Linked DNA regions of Coturnix japonica. The main gene of each other region encodes a partner of the protein of the gene in region 2 in a complex. Links are inferred from orthologs where the notes say so. Each region holds a gene or a part of one and is shown on either strand. Other genes may lie near its edges.

Region 1 (4,339 bases), on a different chromosome or scaffold from region 2:
TTTACTGTTCTTTTGACTGAAATAGAATGGAAGAAAGTAGTTTCACTCTTAGCAATACCTTGCTCGGTCCAGAGCAAAGCTTAGTTGAAAAAGTGTAGGGGAGAAAAAAAAGTGGCTCATCAGAACAATCTCTTGCAGCATCTGAATTACAAAAACTAAAACTGTAAAAGAAAAGACTGCTCTTTAAGTATATTGAAACTATTTATATAAAATGAAAGAACGTGTCCCATGCCAGAGGTACAGGTCTGAAGGGAGCATTTTACTTTATCAGCACCATAGCAGCTGTGTTTGTGCGTACTCTGAGACATCTTCATTTACTCTGCAGTCTTTTGCAGTGATGAAGCATTTAAAAATGCTTGCTCCTCTGTGAGCTTTCATTTAAAAGAAGAGACTGTGTTGTACTAATAGATCATTCTTTAGAAGGTGCAGTATCTTGGTAATGGAGCAACACACAGAAAATCATTATATTCTCACTGAAAGCATTTTAACTGTGTGATGATTTGCTGATGAGTAATTAGTTTAATGCGTAAATTATTTAAATATTTCATAACTTAGAAATAATATTTCCATGTAATTTTAAAGCAGAAGTTTCCTAATACCTGGAAGGCTTACTGTTACTTGCAAATATATTGCTTTATGTAGGATGGCAAAAATCATCACAGAAAGAGGAAGAAAGCCGATCGTGGTGATGGGCCTTTATCATCAGAGTCCTTATCAGAAGCGGATCAGACAGAGGAGGTCAGTGTGAAGGCTAAACTTCAGCTGTTATAATGCTTTCAGCTTACTGATTCCCATGAGTAAGCAGCTAAAACTAGCCCAAATTGAATATATTATTGAAATGTTCTGTTCCATACAATTGATTTTAGTGCAACTCCTACCACATACAGGTCATTCTGAATTAATGTTCTTGAAACTTTACAACTTTCCATGGATGCTTTGGGGTTTAATAAAATGAGGCTAAGTGGTGCCTCACAAGAGTTCTCTCTGATCACTGAATACAGACAGGCAGGAGGTTCCAGTTTGCTGTTTTTTTTCCATTAAAATTTCAACCATGTTATTCACTCGGTAGTTTTACTGTTACATCTCTCTTGGCTGCTTGTTCTGCAATGTTTTAATAGCAGAGTGCCTAGAAATCAGACATTTATTGGATTACAGTTATTATAGAATATAACACTGTTATAGTCGGTTTCTTCAGCAACTGCTCAGTCTGCCCTGTCAATGTTCTGCTGTTTCTCATTTTTATACAACAAAAGTTCAAACTTCATATAAAACAGCATTTCCAAAGCTGCTGTCTCATTACATGACATTTATTTATTTATTCATTTATTTTAGGTTCAGGTGAAAAAGAAGAAAAGCAATGAGGAGAAAGAGAAAGCAACAGCAAGTATCCCTTATACTGTAGTGTTAAGACAGTAATATCTTGTACTTGGTTAATTATTTTATAATTTCACAGTAACACAAATGCTTTATAGTTAAAGTCAGATGAGTTGAAATTTGATATTTCTCTCTTTATCTGTTGAAGACACCTTTTTAGCTGCATAATTAAGAGACAGGTTTGTCACTACTTTAACTACATAGATATATATGTATATGAATTGAGATGTATTTAACATCCATTGCATCAAGTCAAAATATGTTTTACACTGTACCAGCCTAACAGAACTACAAATTTCTGTATAAGCTGAGGTAGCAACATGCCATATAGGTATTGAGGCTGTTCCTTTGTAGGAGTATCATGTATAAGTATTCCTTTGTACACCTTCTATACCAGAGCATAAAGAGGGCCTTAGGACACAATCTCTGCAGCATCACAATACTAATAGAATTCTTCCCTCAAACAAAAGAAGTGCTGCTGGCAACCTGTTGCATTTCTCTGCTTTGTGGATACTTCCTCTGATGATAAAGGTGGGACAAAGGTTCAGCAGTGATACTGTAGGACCTCAGATATGTCCCATGTACCTGAGTTAGAGATGTAGTCATTCTGAGCTACTCTGTATGCACTATAAGCAGCACTGTTCATAATTAGGTACCTCAGTTGCTCAAATGAGTTATGGTACCTAAGCACAGGAATTTCAGTACATGTTTTCTGTGGAATTTGAGTTCGTTTGCTTGTCATAAAATTACTAATGACTTATTTTTTATCTTAAAAGAGACAAGTAATGTGTCTATTGTAGAACTAAGATATACCTAAGTCGCTATGTTTATGTTGTTACACCTACTGAAGAATTCCACTTGAAAAAGGATAAGTTTTGATCTTTCAGTTTTTGATTGAACCTGGTGGTGTTAATTAAGTGTATATGTGAATATTTAAAAATGAAACTCTTATCTTTTGTTTTAATTAAGGTGCAAGTGCTGGAGATTTTAGCCTAGTATAGTGCACTGTGAAAATGAGCACCTAATTGAAGTCTGTAAAGATGCGAGTTACTCCCATATATGTCAGATCTCAACGCAGTTTATTATTTTCTTAGAAATCTGTAAAGCACTGAGAAAGCATTAAAAAGATGAAGAAATATGATAGTGATGATGCTGAGGGCTGGGAAGGAGCCAGACCACAATGGAGACGAATTGAAAACTCTTTGTAATAGTGCACATTGTGAACTTTCCTTTTGTGATTTTCCAATAGGCTTTTATAAAACTCTGCTCTGAAGTGCCATAGATTTTTTACAGAAACATCTTCCAAAATGTCTCAGGAGAGCTTTCATTGCCCTGCTCCTGCTGTTATTGAATGGAATTCAGTAGATGGAATTTTGCTCATACTCTAACTTCCTTTTTGCTTTTTTCTTTATTATTTCTTTTTCAGGATAAAGCCAAAAAGAGAAAGAAGCACAAGAAGCACAGTAAAAAGAAGAAAAAGAAAGCTGCTGGCTCAAACTCGGATTTGGAATAGTATTTAAAAAAACAAAAAAAGCAAGACTATCAACAAAAGTGCAATGACTGAAGGAAATTGAAACTGTGAAATGATAACAAACTTTACCAAACTGCATGAGTTTTCCTGTGTTCTAGAAATATTCCTAATCTTTCAGTAGCCAGCCAGATGCAGCTGTGCTGGGAAAGACCGTTGTTATTGCCTGCTGCTTAATACATGAGGTACAACTTTGATTAAAGTCCAGTAAGCAGTGTTAGATGTTTGAAACAACGTTAAGATGGTAGCTTAGTCCAGCTAAGATGTAAAATATTGGGAAGTAAGAGTTAAACTTTTTAGATACTGAAAGTAGTGTTTTAAAGCGTTAGTAATAGCCTTTACTTGTAAATCAGGACAAATAAAATCCCAAATTCATCTTGTAGGTTTATATTATACTTAAAGAGTTACCAGCTGGTGGCTGCGAATGGCATTTATGGAACGGGAAATGAATGACAACGTATAAAATGCTGCCTTTGTAGTAATTGCCCCATTACTGTCTTCATGCTTATGAGAAAGGGAATGCTACCATTTGGCTAACTGAATAGGGTGCCTTTGCCTTGATCCTTGCAAATCTCTGCTATTTTTAATCCACGCAGCATCTCTGATTCTAGAGAGGCCAGAACTATTGTCAGCAGACCTTTTCTGAATAAGCAGTTCTGGGCTTCTGAGCATGTGCTTCTGCATTAAGCAAGAGCAATGACATTTTGCAGTGTAACTGACATTCAAAGCCAGAAGACTTTACCTCTGCTTCTTTGAAATAGCGATAGATCTGTGCTAGGAAATGAGCATATTTCATTTCATTTCATTTTGGTTTAGTCGAACACTTCTTGCAAACTCCGGTAGTTTTTTCTTTTCCCTTCACATTAACTTTTGGATCGCTGTGCATGATTTGTACCTTTATTAAATTAACAAAATGCAGGTAATCATTCATTGTAACCAGTTCTCTGGATTATGTTCCACATGCAGAGTTTTGTGTACGTATTTAGTTACTCTTACAGTTAAGTTCATTGCTGTGTTGAAGTGCACACTTGCTGAAGATATTTAGCATGTAAAAAGCAGGGTTTTGATACCTTAACAGCTTCATATTGAAGCTGATTTTACTCTAAGCAAGTTCAGTGGCAGACCTGTTACATGACGCATCTTGTTAGATTAAGGAGAAATAAACCACCATACTGCCAGAATCTCATTAAATATGCTGTTTAAACAGTTTGTATTTATATTTTTGTACTGGAGGGCTACAGAATGTTGACCTAAATCATAAAGCTGTTTTATTTTAAATTAGTTGCTTTAGGAATTGAAAATAAGCTTTTATAAATTAAATGTGCACGCAAGAAAACACAAGCAATCGTTAGACTTCAGTTTTTACATGAAATTCTCATTGTATCTTCCATTGAAGTACCCGTGGCTGCGCCTGCTTTAGCCTTTAACAACCGCCCA
Region 2 (4,406 bases):
TAGTAAAGTAAATGTGGTGGGATTGCTGGGGAACACTGGAATGATCAGCAAGGCCTGGCTTCCACAACTGCTGACCTCTGTGTAGGTCAAGGTCCTTTAAGTAGAAGCAAGAATCAGTGTCTCACAAAGAGCTTTTAGGCTCCTGTGTGCAAATGATTTTCACTGCAAACTACCCATAATTCCAGCTGAGGGAAAGAAAGGAGCATTCACTGCACTGCCTTCAAAGGGAAACGTGGGGTGGCAGCTCAGAGGAACAAAGTGTTGCTTCAGTGGACACCCCGAAATGAAGCAATTGAGAAAGTGGCCATTATCAGACAAGTGAACGTCAAACAGCAGGTGAGACCAAAGTAAACACTGTGGGTAAGTGTATCCTGCTCTCACCTCGGCGCTGTTACTCATTAGCCTTTGATGGGTGGTGAGCAGTACCCAATAGGAACACTGGTCAGGCTGTGAGAGGACTTTCAGATGGGGTTTTGTTTCCCATCTGTTGCTCTTCCCTGCCCTTCTGCCTTCTCCTGTCTGCTTTGTGTGGCTTAAGCCCCAGCTGCACCAAAGGCAGGTGCACTAAAATCCTCAGACTGGATTCATTTGTTTCACATGCCCAGGATGCGCTTCCCTGAAGCAGCCATATCCCCCCCCCCACCCTGCTGCAGAAACCGCTGATCCTCTGTGCCTGTTCCAGAACATAACAGTGTAATAACAACTTTAATTAGCTTCCAAATCGAGAGCTCTTCACACTGTACCTCCGCCTGCCGGCTTACAAAGCAGAGACCCTCTGTGTTCTTCAGTTTAACTGAGGATGGAGCTGCAAATACAGAGAAAACACTTGTTACTGCTCTAGAAATGCAGTAGAGGAGCTACTAAACATTTAGAACACCTCGTGGTTTTTATGCTGTTTGTTTGTATATGGTCCAGATGCTTGAAGGCATTTAAAGCATTCAGCTCAGCACGTCAAGCATGACAGGTGTTTCCACAGAGAGCTGCGAGGGCGTCTTGGTGTTTGCACTGAGCTGAGAAAGCAGCAGGAACAGAGGAAAGCAACAGATCTGGAAAATTGCTCTATCATCTGCCTTAAAATGCCTGTCACATATGGAGGAGCTGCAGGCTTTCACACAGCTGGGACGTGAAGCCAATCTGCACTGCTGGAGGTGGGCTGCAATTCCAACAGCGATTTCAAGGCAAGGCAGCTGCGTTATCTGTGTGATCGAGGCCTGTGTGGGGCGTGCAGGCCGGGCGTGTTCTGGCTCCATGATGGGACAGGATCCACCTGAGCAGTTTGTGACTGTCCCAGCAGGTTTTGCAGCAGCTTTGCCAGCTGTGCACAGGTTCTTTCACGTGATAAGCCACTCACCCACAGAGCCAGCCCCAGCTGAGTGTGTGTGTGTGCCTGCATTGCCTGCATGTGAGAGCACTGCTAAGAGAAAAAATGAGGGAAAAGTTTTCCATTTGCTTTGAACCCCAGCAGGTCCTTGGCCTGTCCTGTCTCTTGCAGGACTCAGTTCTCTGATTTACGCCAGAAATTATGAAAGCAACGCTCCATTGCAATAGTCAACAGTTTCACTGCTCTTGTGCAATGGAAATTGGAGGAAAATCAGGATCTCAGGGAGGCCGCTCTCAGGTGGGCAGATTTCACTCTAAGCTTTTTAACGCTGGGATAAGGATCTCAAAATGGATTTTGTCACCATCAGGGCTGTAAGGAGGAGTGCTGCTGTGTTCTGCATTATTTATGACGTTTCTATGGTGACTTTAGAAGTGTAAGTGCTGGGGTCATAATTCACTCCTGTAATTATCAGTTATCAGACACTGCAGGTGAACAGGCATCCAGGCAAAAAGAAAAGAAGAAGAAAGAGAGGATGGGACGTGGGCTTTGTGGTGCTTCTTGGTTTCAAATAAGAATGGCTGCAGAGCTCATGAATCCAGAAGCAAAGGAACCCTGCTGTTACTTGGTACTTAGGAAGCACGTTGAGTTCACAGCCATCAGCTGTTATTATGATTATGATTATTGTTATTATTATTATTATTAATAGCAGCTGGTGACAGAGCACATGAACAGGCTCAGCCTGCAGGCACCGTGACGGGAGCTCCTTACTTCCAATGCAGTTGATAATGGCCTCGTGGGATTTCTGGATGCCCAGCCTGAACTTCTGCAGCTCCGGTCGCAGTTCGGAGCCTCGATGATAGAACACCAGAGCGAACTCAAAGTCCCCCATGGTGTACAGCGCCTCGGCCTTTTGGTACAGGCCCTGGAATGACATTTCAAGGGGGAAAATACAACAAAGTGCTTCAGAGCCTCCAACAGTGCTCTGCTCATACCCACAGACAGCAGCGCTGTGCTGCCCCCAGCCCCACAGCCCTGCAGCTCTGCTCTATTTGCTCTATTATTTCCTCTATTTGTTTTATTTGCTCTATTATTTGCCCTATTTGTTCTATTTTGCTCTACTTGCTCTATATTTGCTCTATATTTGCTCTATTTACCTCCGAGAACGCCTTGTCGCCCTGCAGCGCCGCCTCCACGTCCCTCATCGCGCTCTGTATGTCCCCGAGCTTCAGGTGACACCGTGACCGTCCCACCAGGCCGTGCTTGTCCCCGGCTCGAAGCTTCAGCGCCTGCAGGGCCGGGATCGCACAACGGGCACAGACCGGGCTGACGGATGAGGCCCAACCCCCCCATCCTCGCCTCGCCCCCCCCCCCGTGCCCTCACGTTGTTGAAGCAGCTCAGGGCCTTGCCGTACTCGCCCCGCCTATAGAGCAGCCCGGCCTCGGTCATGAAGCCCGGGAAGGTTCCGACGGGCGGCACGTTCTCCGCCATGTTGGCACCGACGCCGTCGTTTGGCAACGGCTGCCGGGCAACGGCGCCACTTCCGGGACCGAGCCAAGCCCCGCCCACAAAGTGACGTCACCGAGGTCCTGGGGGTGGAGGGTCCTGGAAGGGAAAAGGAGCGGGATGGGCCGGGGGGCGGCGTGTGTACCGGTAATATTAGCGTGTACCGGTAATATCAGTGTGTACCGGTAATATCAGTGTGTACCGGGACTATCAGTGCGCACGGTGCTGTGTGTGCACGGGCCTTGCTCCGTGGCTTCATCCCGGCCCTGGATGAGGCCCATGGGATGAACGCGATGAACGTTTGGCGCCGTCCGTTCCTCTCACTGATTCAGTGGCTCCGGTTCCGTCTGTCCCGGCGGTTCCGTCGGTCCCGGTTCGGTTCTGCTCAGTCCGTCCCGTCCCTCAGCCCCGGTTCGATCCACCCGCTGCTCTCAGGTGCCGGTTCCGGTGCCGTGCAGTGACACCGTCCCGCCATGTGCCGGCCGTGCTGCTCTGGGCTCTATGTGTGTGTCTGTGTCTGTGTGTCTGTGTGTCTGTGTGTCGCCCCGTGTCCCCGCTCGGTGCCGGTACCGGGGGGTGGGGGCGGGGCGAGGGGCGGAACTACGACTCCCACAAGGCCGCGCGGGCGCGCCCCACCGGCGGCGACCAATGGGCGTTCGAGCGGCGCTCAGGCAACGCACACGTGACGGCGGCGGCAGCCAATGGGCGGCGGCGGAGCCCGTAGGCCGATGGGCCGGGGAGGCAGCGCCGCGTCCCAGCGAACAAAAGGCGGCGGCGGCGGAACGAGACGGAACAGAACGGAACAGAGCGGGGAGAGTACGGAACGGAACGGAGTGAAACGGGACGGACAGAGCAGGTGGGGGCGGGGATGGGGCGGGGGGGCACGGACCGAGCGGGGCTGAGGGTGCCCGGCCTGGGCGGGATGTCCGCCCGACCATGAGGGGAGCGGGGCCCGGCCGCCACGATGGAGCCCATAGAGAAGATAGAGCCCATGATAGGGCCCATAGAGCTGACAGAGCCCATAGAGCAGATAGAGCCGAGTCCTGCCCGGGGTTGCTGCCCATCTCCCCCGCGATGGGGTAATAAACCCACGCAGAATCTCCCGGTGTTTCAGGTTAAATCGGTTTTTAAAGGCAGAACTCTGCGTATCCCATTTCTGGCACTGGGGTGAACCAGCACATCTGGGGCCACTCCTCAGCTCTCCGTTAACCTGGCTGAAATCGGTTCGTAATCTGCTATTTTCCTTGGCTGCTCTTTAATTTCTGAAGGCTCAAGGTCTGTAGGGATTGCGTTCACCACCTCAGCCAGTGACAGCAGCTTGCATCACTCCCACCCGCTGCCAGGAGTTTCACAACGTGCAGCACTGAGGCTTCTTGACCCGTGGAGTTGGCTGCTGTGGGTTCTCTCCTCTGCAGCCCCTCTGCCACCTGATGAAAGCGTGTTTGCCAGGTGGATGCTGACGTAACTGTTTGTGCTGCTGTGGGCAGGAAATGTTGGCTGATCTTGAGCTGTGTTAATAAATGACCTGGGATGAAGGGAGGACGTTGCTTTACTGCATGGCTTAAAATCCCCAGGAGGAGG

What was found.
Region 1: TTC25 (region 2) and EFCAB1 share a complex: the UniProt entries of both Homo sapiens proteins name them as parts of the outer dynein arm-docking complex. The link is inferred for Coturnix japonica from reciprocal best matches to the Homo sapiens genes ODAD4 and CLXN.

Annotation. Positions count from the first base shown.
Region 1 is NC_029517.1:20,677,925-20,682,263, reverse strand, and holds the start of EFCAB1 (EF-hand calcium-binding domain-containing protein 1), read left to right. Parts: upstream 1-1,416; 5' UTR 1,417-1,905; intron 1,906-2,800; 5' UTR 2,801-4,339. Other genes in the region: protein FAM133B, read left to right, coding at 643-738, 1,333-1,416. UniProt on the Homo sapiens protein: Component of the outer dynein arm-docking complex (ODA-DC) that mediates outer dynein arms (ODA) binding onto the doublet microtubule. Seems to regulate the assembly of both ODAs and their axonemal docking complex onto ciliary microtubules.
Region 2 is NC_029542.1:4,350,437-4,354,842, reverse strand, and holds the start of TTC25 (tetratricopeptide repeat protein 25), read right to left. Parts: upstream 2,906-4,406; 5' UTR 2,811-2,905; coding exon 2,703-2,810; intron 2,608-2,702; coding exon 2,476-2,607; intron 2,244-2,475; coding exon 2,090-2,243; intron 2,082-2,089; exon of another isoform or gene 916-2,081; intron 806-915; coding exon 744-805; intron 337-743; exon of another isoform or gene 1-336. UniProt on the Homo sapiens protein: Component of the outer dynein arm-docking complex (ODA-DC) that mediates outer dynein arms (ODA) binding onto the doublet microtubule. Plays an essential role for the assembly of ODA-DC and for the docking of ODA in ciliary axoneme.